Macaca mulatta: one gene and its partners. The protein of the gene in region 3 purifies or fractionates together with the protein of the main gene of each other region. This does not show direct contact. Links are inferred from orthologs where the notes say so. Each region holds a gene or a part of one and is shown on either strand. Other genes may lie near its edges.

What was found. The genes of interacting proteins can lie anywhere in the genome.
Region 1: the proteins of XAB2 (region 3) and SF3A1 fractionate together in Homo sapiens (co-fractionation; 3 studies listed by BioGRID and IntAct, with this or other methods). This does not show direct contact. The link is inferred for Macaca mulatta from reciprocal best matches to the Homo sapiens genes XAB2 and SF3A1.
Region 2: the proteins of XAB2 (region 3) and AQR fractionate together in Homo sapiens (co-fractionation; 3 studies listed by BioGRID and IntAct, with this or other methods). This does not show direct contact. The link is inferred for Macaca mulatta from reciprocal best matches to the Homo sapiens genes XAB2 and AQR.
Region 4: the proteins of XAB2 (region 3) and PLRG1 purify together in Homo sapiens (affinity purification with mass spectrometry; 3 studies listed by BioGRID and IntAct, counting the BioPlex papers as one, with this or other methods). This does not show direct contact. The link is inferred for Macaca mulatta from reciprocal best matches to the Homo sapiens genes XAB2 and PLRG1.

Annotation. Positions count from the first base shown.
Region 1 is NC_133415.1:21,188,072-21,192,295, forward strand, and holds the start of SF3A1 (splicing factor 3A subunit 1), read left to right. Parts: upstream 1-1,424; 5' UTR 1,425-1,542; coding exon 1,543-1,605; exon of another isoform or gene 1,606-1,704; intron 1,705-4,224. UniProt on the Homo sapiens protein: Component of the 17S U2 SnRNP complex of the spliceosome, a large ribonucleoprotein complex that removes introns from transcribed pre-mRNAs.
Region 2 is NC_133412.1:12,297,815-12,302,033, reverse strand, and holds the start of AQR (RNA helicase aquarius), read left to right. Parts: upstream 1-1,419; 5' UTR 1,420-1,561; coding exon 1,562-1,636; intron 1,637-4,219.
Region 3 is NC_133424.1:8,521,339-8,525,459, reverse strand, and holds the start of XAB2 (pre-mRNA-splicing factor SYF1), read left to right. Parts: upstream 1-1,321; 5' UTR 1,322-1,339; coding exon 1,340-1,390; intron 1,391-2,590; coding exon 2,591-2,739; intron 2,740-3,022; coding exon 3,023-3,146; intron 3,147-3,433; coding exon 3,434-3,631; intron 3,632-4,121. Other genes in the region: protein PET100 homolog, mitochondrial, read right to left, coding at 8-31, 195-281, 1,007-1,033. UniProt on the Homo sapiens protein: Involved in pre-mRNA splicing as component of the spliceosome. Involved in transcription-coupled repair (TCR), transcription and pre-mRNA splicing.
Region 4 is NC_133410.1:163,143,580-163,147,647, reverse strand, and holds the start of PLRG1 (pleiotropic regulator 1), read left to right. Parts: upstream 1-1,268; 5' UTR 1,269-1,342; coding exon 1,343-1,351; intron 1,352-2,730; coding exon 2,731-2,837; intron 2,838-3,815; coding exon 3,816-3,958; intron 3,959-4,068. UniProt on the Homo sapiens protein: Involved in pre-mRNA splicing as component of the spliceosome. Component of the PRP19-CDC5L complex that forms an integral part of the spliceosome and is required for activating pre-mRNA splicing.

The DNA of each region.
Region 1 (4,224 bases), on a different chromosome or scaffold from region 3:
TGTTGGGCACAGGATCCGGCTCATAGCAAATGACCAATACATCCTAGCTATCATTATTCTACATTAATAACAACCATGACACACAACTACGATGTGTGCGGGGGAGGGGGAAGACTGGAGAGAGCAACCCTTCCTATCACTCCCTCATTTCACAGGTGAGGAAACTGAAAGCCAGGCAAGGTTCCCAGCCAGCTCCGGGCTTTCCGGAGTTGAGGAGGGGAGGAAGGGGGTGGGGATCTCAGGAGAGGGAGAGAAAGCCGGCAGGAGTCGAGGTAGGCCTCTGGGGAGCGAGCTGCATAGCTTGCAGGGGCGCACCTGTGAGAGTGAGGGGTGAAGCCTAAAGCAGCAGCCCTGAGTGATGGCTCATGCGTGTAACCCCAGCACTTTGGGAGGCCAGGTGGGAGGATTGCTTGACTCCATGAGTTTGAGACCAGCCTGGGCAACATAGGGAGACGTCCTCCCACGTCCCTACAAAAAAAATTTTAAAACTGGCCGGGCGCGGTGGCTCACGCCTGTAACCCTAACACTTTGGGAAGCCGAGGCGGGAGGATCATTTGAGGTCAGGAGTTCGAGACCAGCCTGGCCAACGTGGTGAAACCCCGTCTCTACAAAACACACACACACACACACACACACACACACACACACGGCCGGATGTGGTGGGCGCCTGTAGTCCCAGCCACTCGGGAGGCTGAGGCAGGACAATTGCTTGAACTCAGCGATTGAACTCGGGAGGCGGAGGTTTCAGTGAGCCAAGATCGCGCCACTGCACTCCAGCCTGGGTGACAGAACAAGACCTTGTCTCAGAAAAAAACAAAAAAGAAAGAAAAAGCAGCAGCCTTGATTTGAGAGGGAGGCCCCAGTGGGGCTTGAGATCAGGACTACGGAAGGCAGGGGGTGGAAGCAAGAAAAGGCAGGCCTATGGGAAAAGGGAATTAAGGGCGTAGGATTTGGAAGAGCGGCTTGGAGGATGTGGGCCTGAAATGAAAGGGGGGACTAAGGGAATAGGGAAGCGGGGCTCTGAGGCGGCGAGCCTTAGGGCACAGGGGCTCTCCGAAATGAGAGGCCAATGGGAGGGAGCTGGGCTCTTGGAAGGCGGTGTCGAAGGGAGCGAGGCACTGGCACTGAGCGAGGCACTGTAGAGTAAAGGAGGCGCGAGCTGAGTGCGGCGGAGGTCCGGCGGGTGACGTAGAACATCTCACCTGTCTTCGGCGTCGCGGTTTCAGCCTCTGTATCCGGTCAGCCCCGGGAACTGCCCCCGGCGCGCCTGCGGCTCCCGGGAACCCCGGAAACCCCTAGCCCGGAGCTCCAGCCGCTGCCTTGACAACGGCGTCGGACGCCGCGGTGCCCGCGGGGAGGAGCAGGAAGCGCGCCACGGCGAGGGGGCGGTCCCGGAAGTGCGTCAGTCTTACCTTCGCGGCCACAACTCGCTCGGCTGCCGCCATTTTGCGAGCTCGTCGTACTGTTCGAGCGGGGAGGCTGTCTTGAGGCGGCACTCCTCACCGACACCGAGGCGGACTGGCAGCCCTCAGCGTCGCAGTCATGCCGGCCGGACCCGTGCAGGCGGTGCCCCCGCCGCCGCCCGTGGCCACCGAGCCCAAACAGGTACCTCTCCCCCGCCCCTCAACCTGCAGCCGGAGCGTGGGCCTGGGCGCTACTTACTTGAGCGGGAATAAGCGGCCGCTATGAAGGGCTTGGAGGGACTGCAAATCCCAGGAGGCTGCGCGCTTCCCGCGCTATGGTGGTGGTTCTGGTAACGAAACCAGCTGCTCTGAACGGGGTTCTCAAAGTGGTCCGCGGAGCAGCCGCGTCGGCACGAGCCGAGAGCTTAGAAATGTGGAGTCTCCGCCCTAGACCTTTTAAATAGGGATCTTACATTTGAACAAAATCCTAAGGTGATTGATTTGTAAGTGTGAGAGGCGCTGATCCAGCCCATCCTGTGATCTTCTGTGGCAGTTGGGGCCACCGGCCCCAGCCTTTCCCCAGTAATGCCCACTTTCCCAGCCTGGGCGGTACATCTTTGGATGTTAATTCTCAGCATCTATTTCGGTGTCTGCCCCAAGCCAGACACCGTGCCACGCTCCCACGTTACCGGAATGAATGGGGCACGGGGAGCTCACAGGCTAACGAGAAGACAGATACACGAGAATGCTCACCAAATGTTTATTGTTCCGATGGCCGTCAATGATACAGTGTCAGCCCGCCCTTAATAAACCTCTCGAATCTCAAATGTGTATAAACCATTGTAGTACGGTGTGATATGCCCTGTGATAGAAGTTTCAGGTACAAATCTAGTCAACATTGCTTGCTGGAGTAGAAGGGATATTAAGGTAGGGAAGCCCACGGGAGTGAGAGGTAAATTTCTTTTAGAAGAAGGAATGGGAGTTTGCCAGGCAGGTGACTAGGGAAGGGAAATAACATCCTTTATTCATCCAGCAAATATTTATTGAGCATATATGCTGATCATTGCTTTGGGTTTGGAATGAGGGGGACATGACTGAAGAAGCCATGCCTTTTCCACAGATATTTAAGTACCTGTGTGTCCCTGGCATTTTCCCAGGCGTTGGGAGAAAATAAGGTAATGGCCAGATAATATGCACAAAGACACTGAGTTAAGAATCAAACGGTGTCTCTGATCAAGAGTAAATGAACAAGTGTTGAAGCATAGAGCGTGGTGACAGGAGATGCAATTCTTTCTTAGGATTTGAACTTTTCCTTGTAGACAATGGGAAGAAAAGGGAGAGTTTTAAGCCAAATAGTGACATTTGTGTTTCAGAAATTCAGGTAGGCAGGCATGTGGAGAGTCACTACGAGGAGGGGAGGCCAGTCACGCTATTCCAAGGGGCTGAAGGCCTGGCCTAGATTAGGGCAGAGGGGTGGGCAGGCTTTCCAGCCAGAGTGGTGTGTTAGAATTCTGGTTCTGCCAGTTGGACATTAAGCTCTCCATCTCTCAGTTTTGTCATCTGTAATGTGGAGATATTAAGAGTACTTGGCCGGCCCAGTGGCTCACGCGTGTAATTCCAGCACTTTAGGAGGCCGAGGCAGACAGATCACTTGAGGTCAGGAGTTTGAGACCAGCCTGGCCAACATGGCAAAACCCTGTCTCTACTAAAAGTAAAAAAAATTAGCCAGGTGTGGTGCATGTTTGTAATCCCCACTATTCGGGAGAGAATTACTTGAACCTGGGAAGCGGAGGTTGCAGTGAGCCAAGATCATGCCACTGCACTCCAGCCTGGGCGACAGCAAGAGAGAGTCTCAAAAAAAAAGAGTACTTAATCTTATAGGCTTCTTATAAGAGTTATAAGAATTAGTATATTTAAAGTGCTTGGGAAAAATACCTGGAATCTACTCAGTGCTTGATAAAAGTTTTTTTTAAGAGACCGGGTGTCGTTCTGTCACCCAGGCTGGAATGCAGTGGTGCAGTCGTAGCTTACTGAAGCCTTGAATTCCTGGGCTCAAGCAATCCTCCTACCTCAGCCTCCTGACTCACCGGGATTATAGGTGCAAGCCATTGTGCCCAACTTGATCAATGTTATTATTATTGAGTGTGGAAGCTGAGGAAGAGAGAGGAGCCCCAACTTTGTGGCATGGACGACTGAGTAGCTATTCCTGAGGAAAGAGGTTAGAGATGAAAGTGCCCAGTAGTTAGCTGGACCCGAAGCTGTTCAGTACGCAAGAGTGTTCTGGGACATCAGTTTGGGCCAGATTGTATAGAGGCAGGAGGGGAAGTGGAGGACACTGTCAAAACTGAGAAGAGAACCAAGAACAGAATTGGGCGGTGGGAGCGGGGATCTCCAACTTCACAGAGCAGGAGGTGAAACAGGCCAGGAAGGAAACTTGGATGGAATGGTGAGCAAGATGGGAAGACAGGTAAGAATGGGGTCTAGGAGTTGAGAGTTTTCATGAAGGAGTGGTTACCATTCACACCCAGATAATGGCTGTGGGCAGTCGTTTTTGACTTTGTCAAGAGCACTTAAAATGAATGGGGACCAAATGGGAGGCAGGGAAGTGGGATCAGCAAACTGAAGAGAACTCAGGATGTTAAGCTGCCAGAGGATGGGGCGGGAGAAGGCAGCGGCAGAAAGGAACATGGAGGCAGAGGAGAAACTTCATTTTTCTAAGATAAGAGATTTGACCCTTTGTTTACTAAGGGGAAGAAGCTGCTGGAGAAAAAATATTGGTACTTATGGCATAGTTAATGCTGAACATTCCAGTGGAATTTCA
Region 2 (4,219 bases), on a different chromosome or scaffold from region 3:
AGTAACTAAGAACTTGGAACAACTCAGATGTCTATCAGCAGATGAATAGTTTATCAAACTGTGGTATGCCAGTAAAATGGAATGAATGTTAAGCAATAAAAAAGGAATGAACTACTGATACATGCAACAACATGAATCCATCTCAAAATCATTTCGTTGAGTGAAAGAAGGCATGCACTGTATTATTTCATTTATATAAAATTTCACGAAAAGCAAACTTTGGTGACAGAAAGCAGATCAGTGGTTGCCTGGAAAGTGGGTGGGAATAGTGAAAGGTACAGATTGCAAAAGTGCAGGAGGAAATTTTTAGGGGCTCATTATCATGATTTTGGCAACAGTTTCACAAATGTATGTTCATGTCAAAACGCATCAAATTTTACAACCTAAATATGTGTGGGTTATTGTATGTCAATTATTTTTATTATTATTTTATTTTTGTTTTTTGAGACGAGTCTCGCTCTGTCACCAGGCTGGAGTGCAATGGCACAATCTTGGCTCACTGCAACCTCTGCCTCCCTGCTTCAAGAGATTCTCCTGAATCCGAGTAGCTGGGACTACAGGCGAGCGCCACCATGCCCGGCTAATTTTTTTGTATTTTTTAGTAGAGACGGGGTTTCACCATGTTAGCGAGGTTGGTCTCGAATTCCTGACCTCAGGCAATCGGCCAGCTTCAGCCTCCCAAAATGCTGGGATTACAGGCATGAGCCACCGCGCCCGGCTGGGTTATGGTATGTCAGTTTTTACCGCCATAAAACTGTTAAGGCCTGTAATCCCAGCCCTTTGGGAGGCCGAGGCAGGTGGATCACCTGAGGTCGGGGAGTTCGAGACCAGCCTGACCAACATAGAGAAACCCCATCTCACTAAAAATACAAAAATTAGCCGGGTGTGGTGGCGCATGCCTGTAATCCCTGTAATCCCAGCAACTCGGGAGGCTGAGGCAGGAGAATCGCTTGAACCCGGGAGGCGGAGGTTGCAGTGAGCCGAGATTGCGCCACTGCACTCCAGCCCGGGCAACAAGAGCGAAACGCCGTCTCAAGAAAAACAAAACTAAACTACAACACTGTTAAGGGCAGTTAAAAACCAGCCCATATTCCCAGGCTGTTTTTTTGTTTGTTTGTTTGTTTTGTTTTGTTTTTTCTTCGGGGTTGAAAAAAACCTAAATTCTCATTCACCGCACACGCTGCTCCTCACTAACCACGAGAAACCCCATCCAACACCATCCACCGGGTCCCTGCCTTGCCCTCCTAATCCCGCCAGCGGGGTGTCTTCTCTCTGCCGCCCGCTAGAGGGCGCGTACAGAGGAGGTCAAAGCTTTTGGCTCGCTAGCTCAGCCCCAACGCCTGCATGAACTTCCGGCTACACGCCATTCCGCTTCCCGGGGAACGCTTGGGCTGTAGTACGGGTTCCCTATGGGACTCTGAAGCCTGAGGATATCCGGCGCGCAACGTTTGTTCAGCGCGGAGTTAAGCGCCTCGGCCGTAACTTAGGGGAAGTGGACCAGGCTTGCCGCTGCCCAGGGCGGTCCTTTCGTTTCCACCGGAGTGGAGGGGAGCGTGCTACCATGGCAGCCCCTGCACAGCCCAAGAAGATCGTGGCTCCTACGGTGTCCCAGATTAACGCGGAGTTCGTGACCCAGGTGAGCTCGGGCGAGTCTGGTGTATGTGTGAGGGGGTAAGGACGTCGTGGCCCCGAGGCCTGGTGGTGGGGTTTTTTCTTTTTTTTTCCAGGACTAGGAGCACGGAGGAGGCATTCGTTTGTTAATTCATTCACACAAGTCTTTTTTGCTGAGTATGAGCTCCGTGCCGGCAGCTACGCTAGGTGCTGGGCATACCGTGGTGGATGGGTTGCCCTGGCCTGAGGGGTTCATGGCCTAAGAAAGACACATAGGCCGGGTGCGGTGGCTCAAGCCTGTAATCCCAGCACTTTGGGAGGCCGAAACGGGCGGATCACGAGGTCAGGAGATGGAGACCATCCTGGCTAACACGGTGAAACCCCGTCTCTACTAAAAAATACAAAAAACCTAGCCGGGCGAGGTGGCGGCGCCTGTAGTCCCGGCTACTCGGGAGGCTGAGGCAGGAGAATGGCGTAAACCCGGGACACGGAGCTTGCAGTGAGCTGAGATCCGGCCACTGCACTCCAGCCTGGGCGACAGAGCGAGACTCCGTCTCAAAAAAAAAAAAAAAAAAAAAAAAAAAAGACACATAAAAAGAAAACTACTCTATGAGTTTTGCTGTATTGGAGTTTGCCTCAGGAGCAATTGATTCAGAGAGGAGGGAACACCCCAATCTATCTGAGACTGTCAAGCAGCCTTCGCAGCAGAGTGATGCTGGACTGCCTCTTCAAGTAGGAGTAGGCTTTTTCCTGGTCCGTAGAGTGTCCTGAGTTTTTGAGCAGCTATGAGAAACTGACAAGACACCTCCAAATAGACCCATTTAAGAAGAGAGTGATTCTGTAGTTGGAGAGCGTTCATTTAGAATCTGTTTACTATCTTGCATTGTGAGCCACAGTTGGCTTTGGATAGGGAAACACAGTCCTGTGGTTGTCAGCATCATTCCTCATTCTTACTCTTTATTTGCGAATTGGGTAAGAGTGTAAGTAGTTCAGTGTAGAAGTTATCATGCCCACCTGCTTCTTTATTCTTTATTCCTTGTCTCAACAGATTTGTCAGGGCAGAAGCCCAGGGAGAAATTTTGAATCCTCCCTTAATCCCTACATTTCTACATTCTGAGTATCTTTGGAATCTATCTGGTGTTCTACATCTCTGTCACCCTAAGCCTGGTTGCCATTGTTTTCTGCCTGGACGAAGGTATCCTAATCTGTTATATTGTTCTTCTTCTTGCTGTCCTCTAGCCCATTCTTCATGTTGCTTTCCGAGTGATTTTATACAAGTGCAAATCTCATCATATCACTTGCCTTCTTAAAATCTCTCCCTTCCTTTCCTTCCTTTTCTTCTTTCAAGATAGGGTCTCACTATGTTGCCCGGGCTCAAGTGATCCTTCCACCTCAGCCTCCCTTGTAGCGGGGACTACAGGGAACTACACTAAGGCTGACTGTCCTTAAAATCTTCAACCGGGCACGGTGGCTCATTCCTGTAATACCAGCACTTTGGGAGGCCGAGGCTGGTGGATCACCTGCGGTCAGAGTTTTAGACCAGCCTGACCAACATGGAGAAACCCCGTCTCTGCTAAAAATACAGAATTATCCAGGTGTGGTGGCGCATGCCTGTAATCCCAGCTTCTCAGGAGACTGAGGCTAGAGAATTGCTTGAACCCGGAAGGCGGAGGTTGCAATGAACCAAGATCCTCCCCAGAATAACTGGGGGTGAGGTGAAGATTTTCTATTGAGTTGGAGAGTGATTGGTAATTTGGGAAGGTGTTATTTATTTATTTATTTTTGAGATGGAGTCTTGCTCTGTTGCCCAGGCTGGAGTGCAGTGGCTTGGTGTTGGCTCACTGCAATCTCCGCCTCCCAGGTTCAAGCGGTTCTCCTGCCTCAGCCTCCCGAGTAGCTGAGATTATAGGTACACAACCACGCCCGGCTAATTTTTGTATTTTTAGTAGAGATGGGGTTTTACCATATTGGCAAGGCTGGTCTTGAACTCCTGACCTCAGGTGATCCACCCGCCTCGGCCTCCCAGAGTGCTGAGATTACAGGCGTGAGCCACCACACCTGGCCGGAAGGTGTCATTTAAGTAGGAAGTTACTGTAATATTTTTAGAGGCTATTCCTCAGGGCCAGTGTCCTAACTGCTTGGGAGGCTCTTTAAGTGTGTTGTCTGTGCAGTTTATCGCTGAGCTATGAAAGCAAAGAAAACAGGTCCCATCTCTTAAGTATTCCAATTAAGTGAGAAGGAAAGTTGGATAAGCAATCAAATATTTATAATGTAGAAAGGTAAGATTATAAAGAGTTATATACAAAATGAAGATGAAAAAGCAATTGTCGCCATCAGGTAGTGTTGAGGACAGCCTCACAGAAGTAACATTTCAGATTTTGCTTCATTTGTCCATCCATTTATCCATCAGACTTTGTGAGTGCCTCTGATATGCCAGATACTGCAGTCACCTTTTTATAAATATATTGAGTCTTTGTGCTTGCCAGTTTTCTATTTTTAAAGAGATTATAATTGGGTTTTAAAATAAAACCCTATGAGTAAGACTATGCTGTTTCTTTAAATATGTAGAGAGAGTTATATATTTGTTTAAATTTCACAGTTTACAGGT
Region 3 (4,121 bases):
CACTTACCTTCTCAGGTGTCCACAGCTCCCTCTGTAAGGAAAAGTCACAACTGGGACACAAGCCAAGAGCCTCCAGAGCCCCACACCAGGGTAGGGTCAGCTCATGGGAGGCAGACATTGGCTCCCAGCAGATTGGTGCCCCGCACCCTCTCCCACCCCTGGAGTGAACCCTCGAACACTCCTCTTATGCCCACCTTGCGCTGTATGACGTAGCCCTCAAACCACTCGGCCTGATTGGAAACCCAGAACATAGCCACAGGGAAAGTGAGGTAGAGTATCATCTGGAATGGCAGAGGGTGGGTGAGGTGACCGCCCCCCTCGCCCCAAGCAATGTGCAGAGGCTGCTCAGAGCCTGGGGGACCCATCCTACTGCAGAGTCCAGAAGCGCCTCGTTAGGGCCGACCCAAGAACCCCAGAACTCCCACCAAGGGTACAGAAACCTCGCATCCTAAAACCTAACTTCTATAATCCAGGAGGCTTCATTCCTGAAAGTCCCCCCTGAGCTGGAGTCTTCCTCTCAAAGACAGACAGACATACAGAGGCCCGAGCTACAATCAAAAGCATCTCCTCGAGACCTCATTACTCATCCCCACTTAAGATCCCGGGAGCACCCCCAAACCCAGGAGGCGTCACTCTTCAACTTCACTTCTCGAAGTCTGGGAGTCTCCCTATCATAGACACCCACCCACCACAAGCCCGAGAGCTCCCCCAGGATCTTAAGTCTTCCTTCTTTAGAGCCCCCTTCTCAGCCAACCCCTCTCTGAGGTCTTTCCTCGGACCAGCCCTCTCACAGCCCCCAAACCCAGAAGCCCAAATCTGAGAACCCCCCCACCCCACAACCCAGCGTCCCCTCTCCTGGATTTCCAACCAGAAAGGTCCCTCTCAAATCTTAAGAGCTTTCTCCTTGGAGCACCCTCTTTCTTTTAAGACCCCCATTTCCAGCCTCATCTTCAGATCCAGGAAGATCCCCTGCTCAGCCTCCCAATCCACTCCTGTGTCCACTGACCCGAAATATCTCCAGCTTCACCCCCATCTCGTTTCTCCCGGTCAACAAAGCAACTTCCGCCCAAAGCCGACCCTCCAGCAAGACAGAAGCTCATTGGTGTTTTGCACGCTCCATTGCTGAAGCTGATTGGCCAATGTGTATCCTGATGACGTATATTCGGGCGTCTCTATGTTGCTTCCGGTCGCTGGCGTCTTCGAAACGAAGTCAATAACGTGAGCCTGTCCGTCAAAAAGGATTTAACCAATAGAAAACGGGCCTGGCCCGGAGGGGCGGGCCGTCAGTGGTAGATGTCATAAGCGCGCGACTCTCGCCTGTACCTGGGCATCCAGGAAAATGGTGGTGATGGCGCGACTCTCGCGGCCCGAGCGGCCGGACCTTGTCTTCGTGAGTCCACAGAGGAGCCAGGGGTGGCCTGCATTGGGGCATTGGGACCTGGACGCCGCAGGGGATCGGGGCCGGGTCGCCAAGGGGATTTAGGCCAAAATTGCCAGGCCAAGGATTGGGGACCCTAACGGGCCAGAGACCGGATTGTGATGTCCACACCTAACTGGCCAGGAGTAAAAAATACGGTGTTGTGTCTTAGGGTATGAGTAGAAAACTACTGTCGAAGGAAAGCGTCTAGCCTCCCGAGCCAGGGGCGGAAATGGGGGCTTGCAGGGAATGGGAGAGGAAGGAGACCGCATAATTGAACGTTGAGAAGTGAAGACCGGTGTCTGAAGTAAAGGCGTGATTACGAGGCCAGGGCTCCGGTTTCTGGAATGAAGGCTTGGTTTTCTAGATAGCGGTCTCTAGGTCTGGACTGCGGCATGACAGTTTCTGGGGGTGGTGGCCAGGCTAGAAGAACCCTGGTGTTGTGGAGCTTGTCAGGCAATGGCCAATGAAATGCTTATTGTCTGGAGTAGAGGCGTGACATCTTCACCAGATTCTTGGTGTGCAGAGTTAAAGGCTTGGCTTCTGGTGTATAACTGCTCTTATGAGATAAAGTCCTAGCTTTTAACTTCTGGGGCAGAGTTGAGCTAGATGCTGGCTAGTGGGATCCTGGGGGTGGGGCCAGTGGCTTGAAATCTGGACCTGAGAGCCCTGGTGGCTGGGGTGAAGATCTGGTCGTCTGGGCCTGGAGTGGAGATGGGTCAGTTGGTGACAGTGGGAGTCTGAGGGGCCAAAGGCCTGGTGTCTGGGAAGAGGCATGTTTTGAAGAAGTGGGGTCTGGTGTCCAGGACAGAGGCCTGGCATCTGGGCCAGGGCCTTGGTAGCTAAGGAGTCTGACCATTTGGGGCAGAAAGCGAGTGGTGATGTGGACTCATGCCTGGCCCAGAGCCCTAATAACTGAGAAGTCTGATGATTTGGGTTCAATTTTGGGTAGTTGAATTCTGAGGGGTAAAGGTCTGGGCCAGTGTCTTGGTGTCTGGGCATCTGGTTTGGTGCCTGGTTTGGTGCCTGGGCATCTGGTGACCTGACTTCCTTGGTGGGTGGTGGGATCTGGGTAAAAGTCCAGAGTTTGGACCTGAGCCCCAGTAGTGGGGTGGTGCCGCACGCAGGCTCTGAGGGTAGACCTCTCTTCTCCCCATTCCCTGGCCCTGGCAGGAGGAAGAGGACCTCCCCTATGAGGAGGAAATCATGCGGAACCAGTTCTCTGTCAAATGCTGGCTTCGCTACATCGAGTTCAAACAGGGTGCCCCGAAGCCCAGGCTCAATCAGCTATATGAGCGGGCACTCAAGCTGCTACCTTGCAGGTGGGAATGGCTCCAGCTGCCCTGCCCACCAGCCCCTGCCCCCCCGGTCCAGTTATAACAAAACTGCCAAGTAGGTCCCAGGTGATTGCTTTGTGTCCCATCACTGACCTGTACATCCCTTGATGGGTCAGCACACCTCCTCTGATGTCCCAGTCTGTCCCTGTCATTGCTGAGACATGTCACCCCTCCCACACCCACATTTGCCAACAGGGGCAGGGCAGATGGTTCTGGGGGGGGGTCCATAAAGCTGACCGATCAGCATCTGTCCCCTCCTGTTCCCCAGCTACAAACTCTGGTACCGATACCTGAAGGCACGTCGGGCACAGGTGAAGCATCGCTGTGTGACCGACCCCGCCTACGAAGATGTCAACAACTGCCATGAGAGGGCCTTTGTGTTCATGCACAAGGTCTGGGGCTAGGCGAGGGGATAAATCGGGAGGGGGCGCTCAGTCCATGGTGGTGGGTGGGGCAGGGACAGGGGCTGGGCTCAGCATGTTAGGGATGGGGGCCTGGATTCCTGTTGCTTCTGTGCATGGGAAGTTGGGCTGGACTCAGTCCTGGAGCTGGGGGTTTCTGGGTCCTGCTGCATTTATGTGGAGGCCCCAGGTGTGACTCAGCCACAGGACATCAAGTGTCTGTGGGTAGGCCATGGAGTCCGTGGCTTAGCCCCAGCTGCCTCTCCCCACACCCCCAGATGCCCCGTCTGTGGCTAGATTACTGCCAGTTCCTCATGGACCAGGGGCGCGTCACACACACCCGCCGCACCTTCGACCGTGCCCTCCGGGCACTGCCCATCACGCAGCACTCTCGAATTTGGCCCCTGTATCTGCGCTTCCTGCGCTCACACCCACTGCCCGAGACAGCTGTGCGAGGCTATCGGCGCTTCCTCAAGGTGAGCCCAGCAGGTACGCTGGTTCCCCAGGTTAGTTTCCAGAAACTGCCTCACTGTGACACTAGCTCCGTATAGGATGTCACCCAGCAGACTGGATGTGGGAAGAGGCACCAGGAGATGCATATGTCTTGTCCGTGATTCATGTCTTTATTTTCCAAATAGTTTGCTCACGCCAGTTTCACATTAGGCATAGAGATGGGTGCTGAGGACAGTGTGGCTAAGACACTCCCTACCTGCATGGAGCTTTTAGTCTAACTAGGAAGACGGATGTATGTGAGCTGATGGCATGAACTAGAGTAAAACCACAGCCATGATGAGGGCCAGGAATAGGAGGTGGGGAGAAGCAGGCAGGGTGGAGAGTGGAAGCATCAGCTGGGCGGGAGTGGGGCATGGTTTGCTCAAACTTACAGTATCTGTTCTGTGACATTTGGATTCTAAGCTGGACCAGTCAGGACTGAGGCTGGACCCATGGGGCCCAGGCTGGACACTA
Region 4 (4,068 bases), on a different chromosome or scaffold from region 3:
GGCCGAGAGGGGCAGATCACCTGAGGTCAGGAGTTTAAGACCAGCCTGGCCAACATGGTGAAACCCCGCCTCTACTAAAAATACAAAAATTAGCCGGGCGTGGTGGCGGGCGCCTGTAATCCCAGCTACTCCGGAGGCTGAGGCAGGAGACTCGCTTGAACCCGGGAGGAGGAGGTTGCAGTGAGCCAAGATTGCGCCATGGCCCTCCAGCCTGGGCGACAAGAACAAAACTCCCTCTCAAACAAACAAAAAACCATGACCTTAATGTTTTTAATGAATTTCCAAGTGACGTTGATTTACACTGCTATTCTTTTGCTAGATTGTTTCCCCCTCTCAAAGTGTATGCAGTACGCTGTCAGGACAGATCAGTGAAACTGAAACAGGGCCAGTAAAATGTTTTGTCTATTTAAGTTTGCAAATGCCCAAGTCCATCCATTTTTCTTTTTACATAGAAAAATAATTAGGTAGGGTTGATCAAAACCGGAGATTTTACCAGGGTAGGAAGCAAAAATACCAATACTTGGCACAAGGATATGTATAAATAAAAATGGCTAAAGTCTCCAATTGTGTCTTTCTTCTACCAGCTTTGAAAAGCTGTACCCTGGCATTGTTGAAGCCACAATAATCAGCAGACAACTAGGAAATGGCCAAGAGCTATGTAGCGTTGAGAAGTTAAAAAAAAAAAAAAAATCTATTAGCAGAAAATGAATATGGGTTTTTCTTATATCTACATGTCAAAATTTTCCAAATTAAAACAGCCATTCCTCAACATTCACTCAGCAAGTGTTTACTGAACTGTTTAAGAGAAATTGTTTTCAGGTGTTAAGCCTACAAGTGTCCAAGTGCTTCTCGCCAGGATTGGAACCAGGAGACAGAAAGCAAGCAGGCGACCTCCAAAGAGATCAAGGCAGCGGAAGCGCCTTAGATAGAGCCCACGGGAGTTTGCTCTCCAGACGCTTAGGCTCTCTGAATAAAAAGCATTAAACTCCGGGGAATACAGCATGAACAACCAGGGCCCCAGCCAAGACATTGAAGGCTGAAGGTAAGGCAGAAAACATAATTCGAAGACTTCTTCAGAGGAGCGAGTGAAATCCTCCAGTCAGGCGCTTCCAGGTGTCTCCCCTCTACAGCCTCGAGCCTCCGCCCTAGGGGCGGTCCTGAGGAGGGAGACCCGCCTCTTGATCCCAGAGGGCCGGGGGAGACTAGCGCGCGTGCGCAGAGCTTGCATCACATCCGCCGCCTGGCCTCCCAATTCCGGAAGGTGCAGCACAGTTGTGGCGGCGGGTACTGCGTTAGTGATTAGGGTTTCTTCCCTGCCGGAGGTGGGATACGCGGTAGCATCATGGTCGAGGTAAAGTGACACTGGGACTCTCAAGAGTCGTTTGTCTCTGGACTGTTTTTCTTTGGCAGTGGGCGTGGGGGATTGAGAGTGCTTGGAGTCCGGAGAGAAAAGAGGCTACGAGGGAAGCTGTTTGGCCAAGGCCGGGTGGTCTCTTCATCGGGTTTTCGGGGAAGGGGTAGAAGCCGGATGAGAACCCGAGTCGGAGGTTCAGTCCGGGCGCTAAGCCTGAGATAATTCGTCCAGTCCTCGTTTGACTCTTGGGAGCTGGAAACTGTCCTTGGAGGCGGGGCCTCTGTTGGTGTTCGACCACTGGTACTCGCCGCCCTCGGGGCAGTGTCAGTGATTCTGTGCCCGAAAAGATTGGCGGTCTTCTCTATCTTGCGTTCAAGTCGTCTCTTATTTCAACTCTACTCCCAGAAAAACTTGCCATTCTTTACATCTTTCCCTGGCATGAACAGCCAGCCATTCTGTTAGCTGGTCTTATCCATGTTACCCCCCATGTTTATTGATTCCGTTCACTTTTCTCCGTATCCACTGCAGTCCACCTTAATTGAGACCAACATCATCTTTCACCGGGCCTGGTGCATTAGCTCCCCGTTGATTTCCTTGCTTCCATTTTGTTCCATAAGTTGTTCTGTTTAAAATGTAAGTTGTTCATACCTTTCTTGTTTAAAACCCTTTACTGACTGTGTTGCTAGAAGAAAACATAGGCTGTTGTAATAGTCTAAAATACCTTACCTAATCTGGACCTTGTCTACCCTTGCAACCACAAAGCACCATCTCATCCACCATATACAGCTGTGCCGCCCTTCTTGTATTATTTCAGTTAATAATTTTTTTACATGACATTTTTTTACATGACATTTCCATCAGCCTGGTTCGTTTTTATCTCTGTTTTGTGCAAGGCTAACTCCCTTTCTGCTTAAATATCACTTTAGTGAAGTCTTTCACAATTATACTTAGTCCTTCGTTTCCTGACCCAGTGCCTTGCTTGTTGCCCTCATAGCACTTATCAAAATGTGGAATTATTTTACTTTTTATTTGTCTGTTTCCTCTTGAGCACAGGGACCATGACTACCTTTTATCATTCTATTGTGAGAGTCTAGCACGATACCTGCCAGACACACAGTAGGAGCTCAGTAAATATTTATTGAGTAAATGACTAAACTATGGCATCACTCAGTTGCTATACCTGAGGTTCTAGCCAAAGAGGAGCTTCCTCCTCTTCTCTGAACTTGACTCCTGTAGCTCGCAACAAGTAGCTATGGTGAGTGGTATAAAGCTTTTTACATATTTAAACATGTGAAGTGTATAATCAATCTGACGTTAGGTTATGATTTGTGTAATTTGTAGATAGGTGTGTAATTACTTTTTTTTTTTTTTTTTAGGAGGTACAGAAACATTCTGTACACACACTTGTGTTCAGGTCATTGAAGAGGACCCATGACATGTTTGTAGCTGATAATGGAAAACCTGTGCCTTTAGATGAAGAGAGGTTGGTATAGTTTTTTTTTCAATTGCTGAAATATTTAACATTCTAATACTGGGGGAAGAGAGCAGGAAGAGGGAGACCTTTAAAGATAAACTGGCAATACTCATGGGCTAATTCAATAATGAGTGGTGTTTTGGCATAATTTAAGCTGATTTAACTTTTTTTTTTTTGGCCTTTTACAGTAAAAGTTCCATTAATTAATTGCATTTTACAAATACCCAGTAAATAAGAGAGTCCCTTTTAGGTATTTTATTTTATAATCAATCACTTTGTATGTGCTTTCAGCTTCCCGCTGCTCTCAGAGCCTTGCTGAGCTGAAATTGTACCTGGCCGGTACCTCTACTCCCATCTTTTCTCGTTAGTATGATGAAGATTTTTGAGTGGTGGCATATTTTTGGTTCTACATATCCAGCTCCAGTCTGGGATTGCATTATGTGCAGTGTTCCTTCTTTGTCCTTTACCCTTTTAAAATCGACTTAACTCCTCAAACAAGCATTTATATTTAATTTGTAAAGTAGACTATTTTTAAAAGTAATATAAGTGCATTTCTTTTTAAAATATTGAACCAATTAAGTACTTTTCTTAGTTCTAACTAACCTGTTTGGATACATCTAGTAAAGGTTGCTATAGAGTTTTTACTATATTTATATTTTGAAGGAAAGCGTATTGACTTTGAGGTTTCTTAAAGGGTATGTTAGTTTCTATATATCTTTCAAGCAGACCCTTGATAATTTATCATAAAATATTTTCTATTAGGTAACAAACTAAAATATTACTTAGGTTTAATGAATGCTGTGTGGTGGAATGTGAGCAAAAGAACAGATATGGTGGGGAAATGCACTTGGAAATTTTTGATTCTTTTAAATACTACTTAAAATCTTACTAGAAACTTTTCCTACATGATTGGGCAAACTTAAGCTGTCTAAGTGTTTGTTTTAAAGTATTTATGGATACGTTCTTATGTTTATAATTTCTAAATAGTCACAAACGGAAGATGGCAATCAAGCTTCGTAATGAGTATGGTCCTGTGTTGCATATGCCTACTTTGAAAGAAAATCTTAAAGAGAAGGGTCCTCAGAATGCAACGGATTCATATGTTCATAAACAGTACCCTGCCAATCAAGGTGAGTATGGTATTATCAGAAATGTCAGACGTATGTGTGAATTTTAAAAATAGAAAAATAAAATGTGTTATTTTTGCCCCTGCTGGCAGGACTTAGGTGTGGTCATACAG